2 linked regions of the Yarrowia lipolytica genome follow. The protein of the gene in region 1 interacts with the protein of each later gene in a biochemical or structural test. Links are inferred from orthologs where the notes say so. Each region holds a gene or a part of one and is shown on either strand. Other genes may lie near its edges.

Evidence for each region.
Region 2: the proteins of YALI1_C09923g (region 1) and YALI1_E39385g form a complex in vitro, tested with the Saccharomyces cerevisiae proteins (2 studies listed by BioGRID). The link is inferred for Yarrowia lipolytica from reciprocal best matches to the Saccharomyces cerevisiae genes SLA2 and CLC1.

What each region holds. Positions count from the first base shown.
Region 1 is NC_090772.1:988,616-994,245, forward strand, and holds YALI1_C09923g (uncharacterized protein), read right to left. Parts: upstream 3,770-5,630; coding exon 785-3,769; downstream 1-784. Other genes in the region: YALI1_C09885g (uncharacterized protein), read left to right, coding at 1-392. UniProt on the Saccharomyces cerevisiae protein: Required for cellular morphogenesis and polarization of the cortical cytoskeleton. It might act in concert with proteins such as CDC42 and CDC43 to limit the region of cortical patch formation to the cortex of the bud.
Region 2 is NC_090774.1:3,936,536-3,939,897, forward strand, and holds YALI1_E39385g (uncharacterized protein), read left to right. Parts: upstream 1-1,949; coding exon 1,950-2,603; downstream 2,604-3,362. Other genes in the region: YALI1_E39378g (uncharacterized protein), read right to left, coding at 57-1,322; YALI1_E39395g (uncharacterized protein), read left to right, coding at 2,954-3,362. UniProt on the Saccharomyces cerevisiae protein: Clathrin is the major protein of the polyhedral coat of coated pits and vesicles. In yeast, it is involved in the retention of proteins in an intracellular membrane compartment, presumably the trans-Golgi. The yeast light chain is important for cell growth.

The sequences.
Region 1 (5,630 bases):
ACAAAGACATAGAGGCGAAATCAGAGGCCTATGAGGCCAGCACCAAAGACCTCGAAGTCAAAGCCAGAGCTCTAAAAGAAGCTGACAAGTTGCAGAGTCTGGATCACAACTGTGACGTCTTTCCTAAGAAAGTCCGGAATAGGTTAAGTAACGAGGTTACCGCCTATCTTGACTCTCTGTTCAAGATCTGTTCTCATCCAACCAGAACAGAGAGGAGAATTATTGGAGAGCATTGTGGAATCTCACTTCATCAGGTTACACAATGGTTCACCAATCGTCGGTTCAGAGAGCCCAAGACGGATTCCCCTGATGATGGATCAACTAGGTTCATACCTTCACCCATGACTAGTCCCGGGTCCATTGATGAGTGCAGCTTCCCTGAGAGCCCTTAGCATTTCTAATAAAGTGGTTACAGTGGGGTTTGTCTCATGCATGTCAACATAATTTGCATCGTAATAAATAGTGTGTGTCATAGTAACATAGAACTGTCGCATTGGACAGTTGTCATGTAACGAGTAAAGCATCGCAGAGCCTTCTTCATCATTCGATCACTAAAAATATCATTTCATTCATTTACCATACATGTTATACATACATCAGCCGCGCGTAGCTTAGTCCTCCTGGCCAGGAATGGACTCCTCCTCGTCCTGATGCAGGTAGGCGACCTTTCGCATCTGTCCAAGTCGCTTTCGGGCGCCCTGCAGATCGTTTTCGAGCTTGAGAATCTCGACCTGCTGTTCCATTTCGGTCGTCTTGAACTCGTGCTTGGAGAGGGCAGCGTAGTCTACCTTTTCGTCCAGCTCGCCAAACTTCTTGTTGAGAATTTCCTGCACCTGCTTAGGTTTCGGCAGGCGGAAGTAACCACCTTTGAACACTCTTCCAGCTTGTCCTGGGTCTTGGACATGAAGGTAGCCTTTACTCGAGAGGCAGCAACCAGCTGAGCAGTGGAAGCAGCGACGTTGTTGGAAGCCACAATGAGCTCCTCGAGACCAGAGGTTCGTCGGAGAGTGCCGTCGGCCTTCTCGATGAGAATGTTGGTCGATGCAGCTACACTCTTGGCCGCGGAAATAAGACCCTCGGTCCACTTGTTGTTCTTCTTGTAGAACTGTGCTCGAGAAGAAGTACCTCGTCCCTGGGCTACAATCTCGTTCTGGGCATCGGTGGCAGCTCGAATCAGCGCAGCAATGGCGTTGATGACGGCCTGGGCAGCCTGGATGGCAGCCTCGTGCAGCTGCAGGTCGGTGGTCGACTTGAGAGGGTCGGACTGGTTAAACTTGAGCAGATCGCCAAGCTTAGCAGAAGCAGCAGCAATGGCATCAGCAGCCTTGGCCATCTCTCGCTCAACGAGGTCGCCCAGATCACCAGACATGTTGATGTTGGTCTTGGGGGCCATTCGCTCGGCCAGCTTGGTGAGGTGCTGAAGAGCAGTCTGCACGTTCATGTTGAGAGTGATGACCCGCTCCATCTTGTCATCCAGAGGGAAATCCTCAATGATCTCAGACAGAAGACCAATAAAGTTTCGCTCTGTGGCCTCGGCAGACTCACGAGCAAAGTTGACAAGGGCGTCGGCAGAAGCATCGTCCTTGGCCAGACGAGTGAGACCCTTGGAGTTGGACAGAACATTCTCCACAGCAGTAGAGTAGATGTTGACGGTCTTGATGATCTCGGCGTAGTCGCCATCGGTTTCGTCGGCCAAGAAGTTGTTGAACGACGTGGCAAAGGCGGAAGCAGACTCGGACGCCTTCTCGATGACAGACAAGAGATACTCGGGAGTCGAGTTCTGGTTACCGGCCTGCATAGGCGACTCGAGCTCGAAGAGAGCGTCCTGAACACGCTGGGAACCGGACTCTAGAAGAGCATCAATGATAGAATGCAAAGCAGCCAGGGGAGTGGATCCACCGTTGCTGTTGTTGCCCTGCTGCTCCTGGTGCAGAGCCAGCGAGTTGAAGGCTTCGTTGAGAGCCTCGTACTCAATCTCCTTCTCTTCCAGTCGTCTCAACAGATCAGAGTCATCTCCTCGCTCGTCCAGAGCCCGCTGCTTCATCTTCAAAGCATTCTCAAGCTCTGAAAGCTCTCGGTTATGCTTCGACAAAAGAAGAGACAGATCAGCACCGGTAGATCGGTCCTTATCGGCCAGCTTGTCCTGGGCCATTCGAAGCTCTCGTTCCAGACGCTCCACGTCCTCCTTGTTGCCACCCTTGGCACGGTCAAGATCATATCGAGCTCGATCTCGCTCCTTGATGAGATCAGCAAGCTCAATGTTCTTGTGTCGCATGTCTCGCTCCAGCTTCTCAGCCTTCTCAATGGCTTCCTTAGCTGACGCAGCCTTCTGTTGGGTAGCCTTGAGCTTCTTGAGCAAGGCAAGATATTCCTCTCGCATGGACGAGTACCGTTTGGCCAGAGTCTCGTACTTTTGCCGCCACATGGTGATCTGCTGCTGAAGAGATTCAATCAGATCATCCTTGGCCTGGGCGCTCTGATGAGCAGTCTGCTGCAGCTGATTCAGCTCAGCCTCCAGAGCCTTTACTCGACCATCGTACTGCTCCAGCATGAGCTGATCCTGATCGTACTGACCTCGGAGAGCCAGAATGTCTCGCTCAAGCTCGGCCATTCGACCCTGGGCATGTCGGGCCATCTGGTCGGCCATTAGTTGTTCCTGAGCCCGCTGTTGCGCTTCCATCTGCTGTCGCTGCTGCATTTCAAACTGCTGCTGCTGCTGCATCTGCATCTGCCGGATGCGCTCCTCCTCCATGGCCTGTTGCTGCCGTAGCCGCTCCTGCTCGGCGTCGTACTGTTGCTGGGCGAGCAGCGCGTCCTGGGACCAAAAGTTCTCAATCGGCTGAGCCTCAGCAGGAATAGAGGGCGTAGGGGTCGCCACAGGCAAGGGAGCGGGCTCTGGAGACACAGATCGGGTCTCGGCCACGGACTTGGGTCGCTGGGGGAGTCCAGGTCCGTCCTCCTCTTCAAGCAGGTTGGGAGGGTTCTTGCCGAGCTGCGGGATAGTCACGATGGATCGCAGGTACTTGAGAGTAGAGCAATCGTAGTAAAAGTCTCTCAGGCGGTCGTGCTGCGAGTAGAATCGCTGCCGGAGAGACTCAAGAGCCTCGTCGTTACCAGTAGACACATGCATGGCTCGCAGCATGGAGATGACGAACCGGTAGATTCCGTACGACTCGGCAATCATGGGAACCAGAGACGAGATTTTGCACTCGTTGGATCGGGATCGCTGCAGCGACGAGAAGACAAGTCGCTGGAAGTCGTCCACTCCGTCCTGGAGGGTCATCAGGTTCATAATGGCCTCGTATCCCTCGTTGGGGTCGTTAACGGTTCGCAGAGAAATGTAATCCTCGTACTCAAACATTCCGTTGAAGGCCGGGTGGTACTTGTGGAAGGTGAGCTTCTGCATGAGGAACCGGACATACTCGGAGATGAGCTTGCCATAACCATGGTTGCCCTGGTTAGGACCAGTGTAGTTGTTTCCTCGAGCCAACGACTGGATGAAGTTGACATTGGCCTGGGCATCTCTCAGCGCCGATGGGTGGCCCTCCTGAAGCACCTTGTGGATGGTGATCAGGGCCTTGAAGACCATGACATCGTCGGTCTGCAGGGGCTGAATTCGAATGCCGTTCCAGAAGGCCTTGGACGACCGGTGGTCATGGGTGTACACAATGCATGCTCGCACGTGTTTCCGCTTGGGCGCAGACTCGTCTGTGTTGGTCGCCTTTTTGATGTTGACGTTGAGGTCCACTTCGGCTCTGTTGGAAGACATCGTAGAAGGGAGTCTGAACTAGTTGTTGAGTTTGTGTCTTTAGCGGCTGTGTCTGTGTCGGGTTCGTTCGTAGTCGCTGTGTCTGATTGCTTTTGTGTCTGCGTGACTCCTTCCTCGCTCAGATGAACAACTCCAAGTCCAAGTTCAGTAAAGCAAGTGACACCGGTGATAACGCATAGCCTCGTTATGCGGTGTTTTTATTGGGACAACTTTAATGTCACAGTGTTAAGTCCGAGTGAAATTTGAGGGTCTCTAGAGCTGAGGAGCAGAGAGCGAAAGTGGCAATATTGTTGCATTAATACGGACTTGCTGAACTTGTGCCATGTCAACTTCTGGGACTCTCCAACACCGAGATCAACAGAGTTTGCCACAATACGAGTACGAGCACATACTGACACGTCAAGGACATCTCCAATACACCTACATACATGAGGAGTAAAGACGGCTAGCACTCGTATCGATCTAACCGGCTTAGTAAGAACCCTAGAATAGCTCAATTGAGAACACAAAGTCTTTGGGAGTAATTGTGGTCCGAATAAGTCCCTGTATAACCACTTGGAGGACTTATCAGAGGGTTTTATATCATCCTAACCGCCCCCTCATGCTGATGCTGCATGAGATATTAAACGGGGAGTATGCAACCCGAGAACAGAACTGTGTGAGTGTTTGTGGGGAGTGTGTATGGGGTCACGTGATAGATACCAAGCGTCTCATGACGTGATAAATAAGGTCCGTCTATCGGTCTTTCTCTTACTCAGCAGCAAGCGCTTGCGAATGGCTTAGCTACGTGTCTCCACACTAAGACATGGGGTATGCATCTTTAGGTTGTGCCGTTTGGAATCTGGAGGTTTCGTGGGAGGGGTTTGGAGGGGAGGTTAGAAGTGGTATTGAGAAACTGAAGACGTAAAGGTGTTTATTGCAACTTTGTGGTTCCATTTCAGCTTTAAAAATTTCAATCTGGTGAGTATTGCGTCTTTTGGTAGACTTGTTCACCCCCCTAATTAGCGCACAACAATACGACACCTAGAGCTATTTCGAGAGACATTGAAAAAAGATTGGAGAGACTTAAAGAGATGGGTTTATGAAGTGTAACAGCCGTGGCTGGGTGGCGAGAATGGCAGTGATGACTAATTTTAGGGAATTAAGCAAAATGCCGTAATGCAGACATGTTTTGGAGGGTACATTAACTAGTTTTTGGGTCAATAAATACAGGTAATTTAGTTAACATAGTGGTTAGGTATTGGTTAAGCAAGATATGACAAAGGTATCACGTTCTTATAAAAAAAATATAAAAAAATATAAAAAAATATGGAGGTTTAGCTGACTTCGTTGTTAGATATTGGTTGAGCTGGAGATGATCTGGGAGAGGTTTTTGGGAAGCCTCGTGAACGCCATTTGACTGCTTGTTGAGAATTCACCAGTTCCCCTGATGTTAGTGGGTCTGGTTCCGTGTGATTCATGCCGTAGTGTATCCCTAACTGGATCTTTGGTCCATCTCAGCTAGATAGCTAAGCGTAAAGACATCATCGTACCGTGTCTAAAGTTCATGGGATGAGTCTACAGTAGATCAGCGGTGTTTTTCCGACGTCAGATTCACCTCAAACTAATCACTTGCATCAGTACAACCAGACCTTTAGTTTCATTACTCAGGCTTATGTAACTCACGCTATCGAGCAGTCTACAGCAATCGTCAAAGGTACAAGCGCCAAAATCAAGTCATATTCTGGAACAGTACGGCTCTCACTTCAGATTACCATCTCTTGCTCTCGTATATACGTTGCGCCACCAACTCCAGCCTCCGTTACCCCCAATATTGCAGCGTCACACTGGCGTTAATGGTGCATGGTATGGAGCAAGTGGA
Region 2 (3,362 bases), on another chromosome or scaffold:
GCTATATTAGAATTGGTTTGTATGTTACATTTGTGCTTGTGTCCTGTTTGGATTATTCACTCCTCACCCTCCAACTTTCTCTTTTTGGAGTCAGGAGCATCGGAGTCGGCATCGGAATCAGAGTCGTCTTCGTATTGAGGCACAGAAAAATCGTTGCTGGGAAGAGGCTGAGCCACATACCCCGACTCACCAGCAGTAACCACAGCTGGAAGGGGCTCGTAAGAGTCTGACTCATCCTCCTCGTCTGCGATTGAGAATGGCAGCTTTGTAGACTCAGGCTCGCTTGGAGCAGGTTCCGAAGCGGGTTGAGGAACGTAATCGTCGTTCTCTTCCTCCTCAGGATGAGCCTGCTCAACTGACGCACCGTTAGTATCTTGAACAAGACTGGAGACCTCCTTTTGAGCATCTTGGATTTCCTTCTTCATCTTCTCGAACATAGTCATGTTGTGTTTATCCTCTTCAAGGAGAGACGCCTGCTTGTTCTTGAGAGTCAGCAGAGCACTATCAATCTCGCTGCGCAGCTTCTGGTTGGCAGAAATGTCTGTGATAGTCTTGTTTACTGTTTCAAGAAGAGTAGCAAGAGCTTGCGAATCCCGTGACTTCTGACTGGACTCAAGCTTGCTCTTGGTCTCAGTGACGGTCGTAGTTTTAGTCACCTTTCCGAGCAGAGTGTTGAGCTCCTGCAACTCGGATCGAACTGACGGTGCTGCCGTTGAGCCACCCAGATCTGCAAAGCCAGTTCCTCCAATGCCACCCAATCCGGACCCTCCGATTCCTCCAAGACCTGAGCCTCCGATTCCTCCTAAGCCAGATCCCCCAATTCCCCCTAGACCGCCAAGTCCCGATCCACCAATGCCTCCGAGTCCTGTACCTCCAATTGAACTGCCTCCAAGGGCATCTGATCCGGTGGGCCCTTCGCTGCTGTCAAGCTGTCTTGTCTTGCTATTGATCTCCTCGATTACGTCGGGTCTGAAGACCTGTCGCTGTTCCCAGACCTCCACCACTCGCTTGATTTTGTTCCGGAGATCGGTGTTGCCCTCGCGGTAGGTGGATACTATTCCGTCCACAATGACAGTGGAAAACGCCTCGATGAATTCGTCTCTCTTCTTGGCCTTGGCCTGCTGGACCACATCGTTAGCGAGGTAGATCATAGCCAGTTTTCGCTTGAGAGGAATGTTTCGAATGTAGTCGTACCAGGTCTGTGCGATGGGTCCGCAAGCTCGTCGGTGGAACTGGATCCATTGAGACACCGAGACAATTGAGTCCTGGGTCTCATTGAGTGCCGACAGCTTCGACATGAAAGAGTCCACTGAGAAAGACATGTGGTGTTGTGTTGAATAGGATGAGATATGAAGTGATGATGCTTGCTAAAAGCCCCTGTGGATCTGTGTGTGTGTGTGTGTGTGTCAGTAACGTTCCTGTTGTCGGTTACGGTGTAAAAACAGGTGTGTCGCTTTTCTGGTTGTCTCCAGACAGTAAAAGCGGTCGCTAAAATGATTGTTCTGGAGAATTGCAGCAAACTGCAAGTCGGTTTTTAGGCCTTTCGTAACTTATTTACGTTGTTCTGCATAGTCCTTGTCTGACCAACTAATTAAAGTACAATTTCAACAAATATTTGTACGATGTTGCCATTGGGACTACTGTACATTTTGTACGTACAGTAATCCAAAGAAGGCTGGTCATTGACTGTGCCTGAGTACAGTCAGAACGGGGGCTCCAGAGATTGTGTGGGGCTACTGGAAATGTAGGGATAATGAATTGGTCGCATTGATCGGATTAATTTCAAAAAAAACAAAAACAATTCACTTCCATACGTGATTTTCCTCCTCGCACAACCACAGCCACCTTATCAACATTTTAGACTTTCATGACACGTGACGTCAATAAGCTCCACATCATCACCTCCCAAGATTCATCACCCAAATAACGCAACGTCACACACATCAACAATGGCTGACAAATTCCCCGCTCTCGAAGATATTGACGATCTCCCTCAGGATGTCGAAGTCGATGTCGACATCAAGGACACCCACGCCGACGAGGATGACTTCAAGAAGTCGTTCCCTTCCCTGGAGGACGAGGAGAACGATCTCACCGAGAACGCATTCAAGGAGGACTTCCCCGCCCTCGAGGAGGAGACACAGGCTACCACCGGCAACGTTGTTACTGCTGAGGCTACCGAGGATTCCTCTCCCGTCGATGGCCTTGAGACCTCCGTCAAGAGCCTGAACCTGTCCGAGTCCACCGCTATCAAGGAGTGGAAGGAGCGACAGCAGCTGGAGATTGAGCGACGAGACCAGCAGGCCGAGGCTAAGCGAAAGGAGACCATTGAGAAGGCCCAGAAGGCCATTGACGACTTTTACGAGAACTACAACTCCAAGCGTGATGAGGGCGTCAAGTCCACTCAGGAGGCCGCCAAGGAGTTCCTTGCAAGCATAGATGATACTTCCTCTTCCTCTGGCACCACCTGGGACCGAGCTCTGAAGCTGATTGATGACTCTGACACCGGAACCAAGGAGGGTTCTCGAGACAAGACTCGATTCCGAGAGATTCTTCTGTCTCTCAAGGGTGACGTCGACGCCCCTGGTGCCGCTGGTTACTAAATGTATGATAAGATAATGATTTAATGAAGTAACAATTAGTAATTTGTGTTGGTTGAAGTGTCACATTATGTGCTTTTGAGGTGCTGTACTAGTACACTACTTGTAGCTACTGCCACACACAAGTTCTGGCATCTTAATAGCCGTGTCAACTTGTCCATGTATACTGACACGTAAATCGAACGAACTCTACACTCAAATTCAGCACAAAAGCAGATGCAGCCAGAGTACGCGTTTTTCGGCTTTAAAAGATGTAGAATCAGCCCAGTAGCAGACATGATTTCTGTCACAGTCGTTTGGAATATCCCACCTAACAGTGTGCCAATCCTAGTCGTCCTGGACCTCAATCGGTCATGCATGAAAGCAGTGCATTGAGTAAGTTGTACAACTGGGACTGTAGTGTCGTATTCATCATCCTCAACATCTACACCACCATGCTGGTCTTGGTAACAACAGGTGGAACGGTGCCGTTTGAGGCTCTCATCGAGCTGGTACTCTCACATGAATCCATTACTACGCTTTCCCAGCTGGGATTCTCCAAAATGCGCGTTCAATACGGACGGGGCAATCGCCATATCTTCACAAAACATCACAAGGAAGGCGTCATGTCGATAACGGGGTTTGAGTACACCGATGATCTCGCAGGTGAAATGTCGAGGGCACATTTGGTTATTTCGCATGCAGGAACTGGATCTGTTTTGGATGCACTCAGAATAGGCAAACATCCAGTGGTTGTGGTGAACAGTAAATTGATGGACAACC